2 linked regions of the Tribolium castaneum genome follow. The protein of the gene in region 2 interacts with the protein of the main gene of each other region in a biochemical or structural test. Links are inferred from orthologs where the notes say so. Each region holds a gene or a part of one and is shown on either strand. Other genes may lie near its edges.

Region 1 (3,824 bases), on a different chromosome or scaffold from region 2:
ACCATAGTTGGAAATTATTTGCCGTGTTGGAAGGAAATTTCGCACAATAAGTGAGTTTTTGAACTCAAAATAAAGTAATTCTTGACGTAATTATATAAATGTTTGGGTTAAAATGCAAAAAAAAAATTTGCTTGTGGACTTTGCATTAGTTCTCAGTTCCACTACTCTACAATTTGTAAGAGTGACTGGTATTTTTCTGTTGTGATTCATTCAGTTTCTTGCAATTTGTGACCAACTACCTCTAGAATTAATCTTTGGTTTTCAGTCCTTAATCTTCGACTTGGAATATTTATTATCTTGCGAAACAGATAAGCACTTCCTCTTGTAAAACTCAAACAAAATATCGTCAAACGAGGTTAAAAACTTGCTCAATTTTGTATGAAAATCTCAATTACTCACGCTAATAAGCACGTGCATCATTAATAGCTATTTGTAATGTATAATTCATGAAAAACATGCTACGACTACACCAATGAGATCACTGATAAATGGTAATTAGAAATGTACAGTCGTGACCGAGAATTTTGGCCAGGCCGGCAACTAATGGCCAAAACTTCCTAGCGGTACTGTACCCACATGTGACCCAAAATTGTCTAATTTTTCGATCACGTCTTAAGGCACACCGTTAGGAAAAGTGGACTTTCGTCCCTTGTTATTGTCAACAACACGTGTGAACGCCCCTTTAGCCAGCGATAAAAAATCGCCGATCGTTGACATTTCCAGTGACAATCAGGCGTCGCGATGGCCCTTTGTCGTCATAATAATCGCACAAAATCAATAATGAAGCGATTAAATCGTGATGAAGTCCCCTCGTGGTGCCAGTACCCACCTTTTCACCATTTCTGAAGCCGTCTTAAACAGTTTGGCTGCGATTGTCGTATTCGAAACGCATAAAAATATCAATCACTGGTGTCGTTGCTTCACTAAAAACATCACTAGAGCCGCCGATTCGTGCATGTTTATCACTGGTGGCACACGCATTCACTAGGCACGGCCGTCTTCGTTGCACTGGCGGACGCTTTCACGGAGGTTTCGCACCGTTTGCGATGAAAGCACGACTTCCAAGGGGAAAAACACGCACGGTGATGCTTTTCCACGGACACTCTCCGCACTTTTACCGATAACAATGGCGCGGTGGATGGATGTCGATCGTGGGGGACGTCGACGGTGGGATGTAAACATTGGGCGAGTGCTGACATCTGCTGGGACCGGAAGTGAAAAAGCGAAATGACAGACGACAGTGGCGGGGTGCACGATTTTGGCGAATTTTTGAATGTCTTTATTGACGATTCATCGACCAAATCTATTATCACCTTGTCAGCGTAAATGCGAAATGGCCTAATGCAAAAAAGGCGGTGGGAAATTGCAATGGTCAGGGCCGGCTTTCAGGAGTACCAACGCTACCAACATGGTGTCGGAATACATTTTCTCTTTGTAATTTTACTGAACTAATAAATTAATAAATAAATTAAATTAATCAGACTTTAGGGTGTAACAATAGACATTATAAAAATTTGGAAGATTTAGATCAAGATCAAGAAAAACTTGTTACCAGTGAAAACTATTTTATTTCACTTTAAAGTGACAAAAAAACATCGCGGCTAGACATAATTTTAATCTACAGGGGTGCCAAAGAAAGTCTTTCTTTGGCATCTTTTTTTTAATAATATGCTCCAAGGAGCGATAATTTAGTACTAAAAAGAAACACTCTGTAGAGTTATTATTTACCGAGAATGACGAGAATTTATTACGATAATGAAGTTTACAAATCGAGCCGTATCCGAGCTTTTTTCGCGTATACTCACAGATTTAACTAAGATAAAAGCAAAAATGAACAAAATTGCTTCTGAAATGTGGTATTTTTCCCTATTTTTAATATTTCTATCGGGTTAAAGCATTTTTCGTCTATAGAATTTCTCTAAATTTTGCAAAACAAGGCCAACAAATATCAAATTCACGTTTGAAATACGATATTGTTTTAAACGATCGGTTTCAAAAGAAAATATAAATAAATGTAAAGGCCCTGATAAGGTTTTTGCTAAAGTGTTAATTGGCACTATTTACTCACCCTGAAAATTAAAATTGTGCATGTTCATTTTTTGGCTGCTGGTAATTTTATTATTTGAAAAAAATATTGGGGCCTTTTTTTCAAAATTCTGAAAAATTTAGCTGACTAATCATAGGCAAGGCCAAAGTGGTGAAATTCTCACATTACCTATTCAAAAATTAAGTCTTAGGCAGTTCATAGTCAACCATTCTTATCACATCGTTATCAATATCAATGTCACAAGAAGAAAGTAATACAAGAAAAACAAACAACAAAAAACATGGCAAACTTACAACTTCATTTTCTTAATTAGCATGTTATTATCCCCAGAGTCACTAAAACACCACTCAATTTCGCAATACACTTTAACTAAAACTTCAGTGGAAACTTCCTTCGGTTCCATTTTTCTCTCGTCCATTTTCCGGCCGTAAAGTCACCACTAAATATCAGAAGACAAGTCACGACAACCACCGAATCGCGCAGAATATTATAGGAAAGAGTGGAAAGATCCATTCTTGTCATGACTTTGCGTCGACAAGTCAAAACAAAGACGAGCACAACATTTTCGCAGATTTTGCTCTGTGGAGGCGAAATCTGGCAGGTTTTGTGGCACTTCCGACTAAGCGATTGGTTCGAGGATGAATCAGCGCCCAACATCCACCAATCTGACTGGTTTCAACTTGTTCAAAATACGCCAGTGGTGCGGCCTAGATCTGGGCGGAGATGATGCAATTTGAGGCTGGAGGGGCGCAGAAGTGCAAAAATTTTTTCACCCCCCTCGTCAAAAAAAAATCACATAAAAGAATTTTTTTGAATCGTAAATTTAAAATCGAAACAACGTCCGGTTCAGTTTCTTTCATGTTGGGTCAGATTTATTTATTTTTATTATTTTTACCCAAATTATTCAAATGCCATTTTTTTGGAACTGTCAAAGTGACACTGACAATTTTTGAGCTAATTCAGTGATTTTTTTGATTTTTTTTTGCTGAATTTTTGCGACATTATTGCGTTTTTTAGCAAAAAATGAGCCAATTATTATTAACAAAGGACAGAAGCGGCAAATTAAACCAAGTTCATAACTTGAAAACGTTCGAAATAAATAAAGAATTTCAAATTTGAATTTTTAAACCAGTTTTAGTGAATTTGTGGCACCAAACGTCACCACTAATGTTGGCAGCTTTGGCGCAAAGTTCCCGCCAATTTACTTCCGTGTAACAACAACGCTTTATTCGCCACAAAATCGGTGTTTTATACGAAAATGGAAGGTTTCGATGATCCAGGAGTGTTTTACAGTGATAATTTCACGGTTGAGGACAACCAAAGCGACCCCCAAATCAATTTACAAGGTGTTAAGAAAAAGTTCAAGGAGTTCATCCGACAATACCACACCGACAATTTCAGCTACAAATACAGGTCTGTTTCCAATTTATTGCCAAAAATCACTGAAACCCCCTTATAGGGACACCCTGAAGCGCAATTACAACCTGCGCCAATATTACCTGGAAGTCAACATTGAAGATGTTGGCGCTTTTGACGAGACGTTGGCCGACAAACTATACAAACACCCGTCGGAACACTTGGTTATATTTGAGGAAGCGGCCAAGGAAGTGGCCGACGAACTCACAGCCCCACGTCCCGAAGGAGAGGAAGCAGTTGAAGACATACAAATTATGCTGTCTTCAGACGCCACTCCGACAAACTTAAGGAACATGAAAGTAGGGTTTTTTCGGGGGTTTACCGCTTTACAATCGCATGATTTCAGTCGGACGTTGTCTCA
Region 2 (4,381 bases):
AGTGCGCCCCGATTGAATCCCATTAGAAATAAGGACGAAGTGAAGCGTGCCATGAATGAATACGTTGAAAAACACAAATTCCAAGGTAAATATCGGATACAAATCTACTATTTTCACAACAAAAGATTCAGCGAAACTGGTGGTATTATCAGAAAAAAAATCTTAGCCATTCTGAAATACATTTGATACTCGATTTGAGATAACAGTTAAAATATACTTTAAGTAAACTTATTATGGCTAGATGAGCCCATAAAATAGTTTAATACAAAGGAAAATCCCTCACGAAATTCTCTGAGGAAATAACACCCCACTTGACTAATTTTGCAGATCATAAAATTTCTCCGGATTATCCACCAATTGCCGGATACACGGGACACATCCCACGTGTGAAAGGGAACGAAGAATCGCTGTCTCAGCGTTACAATACAGTCGTAAAAAGAGGACTAACACTGTTACAGAAGGAAAGAGAAAGGATACAAAGTTTGAAGAAGGCGCAAAACCAAGTCGTTGGAGTTTTGCAAGACTTTGAAAATCTTCACAAAAGAGTAGAAACTTCGTAATGTTGCTTGTGGCAACGTTATTGAAGGGAGAATAGAAGCTTTAGTGTTTCATTGTTGTGAAATATCACAAAGCGCAAATGTATATGCAGTCAAACCTCTGTAATCCGAATTAACTTTGCACTGTGTTCTTCGGATTAAAGAGGTTGTACTGTAATCGTATTTTGTTTGGTTGTTTATTGAAACAATGTTTAAAAAGTGACAATTTATTATCAGAAAATAGAAAATAAAAACCACATCTTTTAAATTATTTCTCGGAACTGCGATTCTTTATTCTTTCTTTTCGGGCTTCTTCCAAGGCACACGCTTTCTTCCAACATTCCTCATCCAAGGTGTTTCTTCCTTGTGAGATGCAAACAAGTCTCGCCAAAACAAGGAGACTGTGAAGATCGTCTCCTGTGATGTTACCAGCTTGTCTCATTTCAACAAACTTATTTTGGACCATCTACAATTTTTTTTTCCTGATAATTGACACCAAAAAATGCAATTTACCTCAAGCACACCGTCTGATAAGTCATATTGGGTCAACCGGGCGTTAGTTAGATAAAGTCGAATATCATTTAGCAGCTCAGGTTTGAGGAAATGTTTTGCCGCTTCCAGAATCTCGCTGAAAGTCTTTAAATGCATTTCTTCTGGTTTGAGAATTACATGAACATCGCTCTAGAAAAATTTTTTTCAAAACTGTTTAACAAAGTGATAAGTACAAACCGGCAGCATTGATTTGCCTTCAGAAAACACAAGAAACGGAATATCACAATCATACTCGAGCTGATAGTACGTGAAATCGTACATGATTTTTTGGTTCTTGATGGTGTTTGAAAGAGCGCGAACTCCGGTAACTCCGCCCTCGTTTAATTTTCCCGGAGTTAGTTTCGTCTCGTCCAACACCAAATGAGTATTATCACTTAATTGCAAAACACTACTTGTTAAACGATCCGAACTGTAGTCTTTTCTTCAAAAACAAGCCAAGAAGAATCATTTTACACAAACTGAAATAACGGTGCTACGGAACTTACTTTGGAACAAAATTGAGCTCATTCATATTCTCGAGCAACATCGGCAAATAATGACTTTTGGTAGTGAGGGTCTCTACAAACTTGTAAATTTCCTGGACATAATCAATGTTTTCAAGCATTGGGACGTTGGAAATGTTTAAGGAAAATTTTCCAAGTGCCATTAAATCTTTCCGCAAGTAGCTAAAAGTCTACACGTGAAAAATAGCAGAATCAAATGTGCGAATTCCCTTACACTTTAGAAATGAAGTGGTAAATTAAATACTCGGCTGCCAATTCATCTCCACACATTAATTGTGTTAATAGAATCAAAAGTTCTTTTCTAATGATCTGCATTTTATCAGCGCTCATTTTTTCGTGCGTAACTAATGGATTATTGTGAGTCAATGATTTGAACGACACACAATGAATTCTAGGAATTAAACACGGAGGAGGATTGTGAATTTGAGACTCCAGACCGTTCATATCATCATCAATGTTAGCCCCTAAAAGCGGATTGAGGGACAAAAAGCCCACAAATTCACAAATTGAGTTCAATTTAATCTTGTCCATGTCTTTGTATACTTTTAAGTGGCATACTTTGCCAGACGGATTGGGGATTGGGAAATTTAAAAGGTACTCTTGGGAAACAACAGGTGTTGTTTCTGCAGGTTGTGCTGACTGATTACATGGGCGCTTGTTAGAGTTTGATGGTTCAGTTGCACTAGCGACTTCCATTTCTTCAACGGGTCGTTTTAAGTGCACTGAAGTTGAAGAGCTTGTAGACGGTAGTTTGTACCTGTCCTCCTCAAGCTAATTTTTTTATTACACAACCCCTCAATTAAAACAATACTCACTTTATGAACCCATGGATTAATACCAGGGATTGAAATTGCAACGTAAACATGCCGCTCACTTGGAGTGGTTGAGGGACATTCCTCAATGGTTTCATTAGACTGTCAACACATACTCAGCCCCCGAATAGCTTTCAAAAAATTACTCTTACCTTACAGTCTGCACCATCAACGTATTTGCCGTATTTAATAGTACTTTCTGCAGTTTCAGTGTTTGTAACAGTGAATTTTTCCAAGTAGAGTTCGGGACCGTGCATATCCTGTATCATGCCCTGGAAGCGAACCAGTTGCCAGTCTTGGAAATTGTGCAGCTCGTTTGCATTCAACAGTGGAATCTAACAATGTACAAAGTGTTCAAAAATTGTAAAAGTGTAACTTTCTAACCTGATTCCAGATTTGTTCGTTTTGAAGTAATTCCGAATATTTCGTTTCGTTTAGGTACCATTGGTCGGGCCTACAGTTTAATAAGTCCATTTTTGCACTCGTTATTATTATTTTTAAAGAAAAAGGAACACCCGAAAATAACCTCGAAAAAGGGTTACACTTTTTGGCGCCAAATTATATGTCAATCTTTGCGTTGCAACTTGCAATTTCCCTAATCCCAAACAACTTTAAAAAATATTAAAGACACTTGAGGAAGGAATAATTATACAATAGATATGCTCTAGTTCTAAAACTGACGGCAAAAGTAGGTACTTTGGTACCTGTCCGCGTATTTTTAATGTTTGAGATGTATGGCAAATGAATAATATGGATCAATGGATATTGCTAAACATAACATAACCTAGTAAAAATTTTGGACTTGAAAAATTTGTTTCTAAAAACATAATATTATTCAATAAGTTTCGAACCGGAATTATGAGTAAAAACAAAGACGTGGAGTTAAAAAACTTTTTTATTTTCAATTCTCTATATGGCCCCAAGGAAGGGGAGGTGCGTACGCCCCTTTTAGAACACAATCACAATGTCTTTTCCAGGAACTGAAAAAAATTCTTTATTATTATCCAATATCTGACAATGCCGATGTACAAATAAAGAATGTGGGGTTAGTTGAGGGGATCATTCAATTCACTGGGTAAAGTGTTTGAGATAAGGGGCAAAAAACTGTAAGATTTCTTGTAGCACATTTAAACCAAGCACTCCAGTGAATTCACTACATACGCAAAAAATGCGTCAATTGTATTTCCAACCAGAAAAAAATATGTGGATTGTTTTGGTATTTACACATCTTTAATCAATACTTTTAAGCACTAAATATTATAGACGTTAACTTTACCAACCGAAGTTAAGGGGAAGGACAGTTCAACTCAAATCGAATATCTCGAGGATGATGTACAAGACAATGTTTACGAAGCCGTCTTAAAACAAGCCTATTACACGTATAGACTTTTCTGGGGCACTTTTGAACACACGATTGAGAACCACGATGTGGGCACACTTAAAACAAGACTTGAAAGTTTCTATAAAGCTGTAAGTTAACAAGATTATTTAAGAAATTTTAATTTATACTTCACAGTATCTGAAAACCTTAAAACTAGGGCATGCTGATATTCTGAACGTGTTCCACGGAATTCAGTATCTGCCTCTTGACAAACTAACTTTTTTAAAAGTCCAATGTTTTATCAATTCACTTGAATGCGAGTATCCCGAAATTGCGTACACAGCGTTCTTATACAACGATCATCTCATATGGTAATTAATTCAAATAACTTAAAACTTGTTTTATAAGTAATAACTAATTCAAAGGAGCGGTTTTGAACCCAAAGACATGAAAATTGTGTACCAATATTTAATTGGCACTTTACTGCCCGCCAACATGGAGGCTGAACTTCAAGGGGGCTCAATGCCCCGTAATTCTGTTTCACCTTTTGCTGCATTACATCACGGTCGTTTCATTACGGGACCTACAAATTTAAAAACAGCCAAAAATGTGGGGAAAATACCCAAAGTTTATTTATTTGCCTCAGGGAAGGCCGAG

What was found.
Region 1: the proteins of mini-chromosome maintenance complex-binding protein (region 2) and Mcm5 form a complex in vitro, tested with the Homo sapiens proteins (2 studies listed by BioGRID). The link is inferred for Tribolium castaneum from reciprocal best matches to the Homo sapiens genes MCMBP and MCM5.

The regions. Positions count from the first base shown.
Region 1 is NC_087396.1:20,945,352-20,949,175, forward strand, and holds part of Mcm5 (DNA replication licensing factor Mcm5), read left to right. Parts: intron 1-829; coding exon of another isoform or gene 830-840; exon of another isoform or gene 841-1,210; intron 1,211-2,340; coding exon of another isoform or gene 2,341-2,465; exon of another isoform or gene 2,466-2,776; intron 2,777-3,179; 5' UTR 3,180-3,305; coding exon 3,306-3,460; intron 3,461-3,506; coding exon 3,507-3,762; intron 3,763-3,809; coding exon 3,810-3,824. Other genes in the region: Pli (protein pellino), read right to left, coding at 2,341-2,465. UniProt on the Homo sapiens protein: Acts as a component of the MCM2-7 complex (MCM complex) which is the replicative helicase essential for 'once per cell cycle' DNA replication initiation and elongation in eukaryotic cells.
Region 2 is NC_087394.1:35,481,204-35,485,584, reverse strand, and holds mini-chromosome maintenance complex-binding protein, read right to left. Parts: upstream 3,086-4,381; 5' UTR 2,878-3,085; coding exon 2,788-2,877; intron 2,739-2,787; coding exon 2,556-2,738; intron 2,506-2,555; coding exon 2,407-2,505; intron 2,363-2,406; coding exon 1,806-2,362; intron 1,754-1,805; coding exon 1,574-1,753; intron 1,510-1,573; coding exon 1,266-1,509; intron 1,218-1,265; coding exon 1,050-1,217; intron 1,003-1,049; coding exon 805-1,002; 3' UTR 748-804; downstream 1-747. Other genes in the region: ciliary microtubule inner protein 2B, read left to right, coding at 1-85, 328-560; vacuolar fusion protein CCZ1 homolog, read left to right, coding at 3,262-3,336, 3,381-3,478, 3,526-3,619, 3,667-3,873, 3,920-4,095, 4,150-4,381. UniProt on the Homo sapiens protein: Associated component of the MCM complex that acts as a regulator of DNA replication.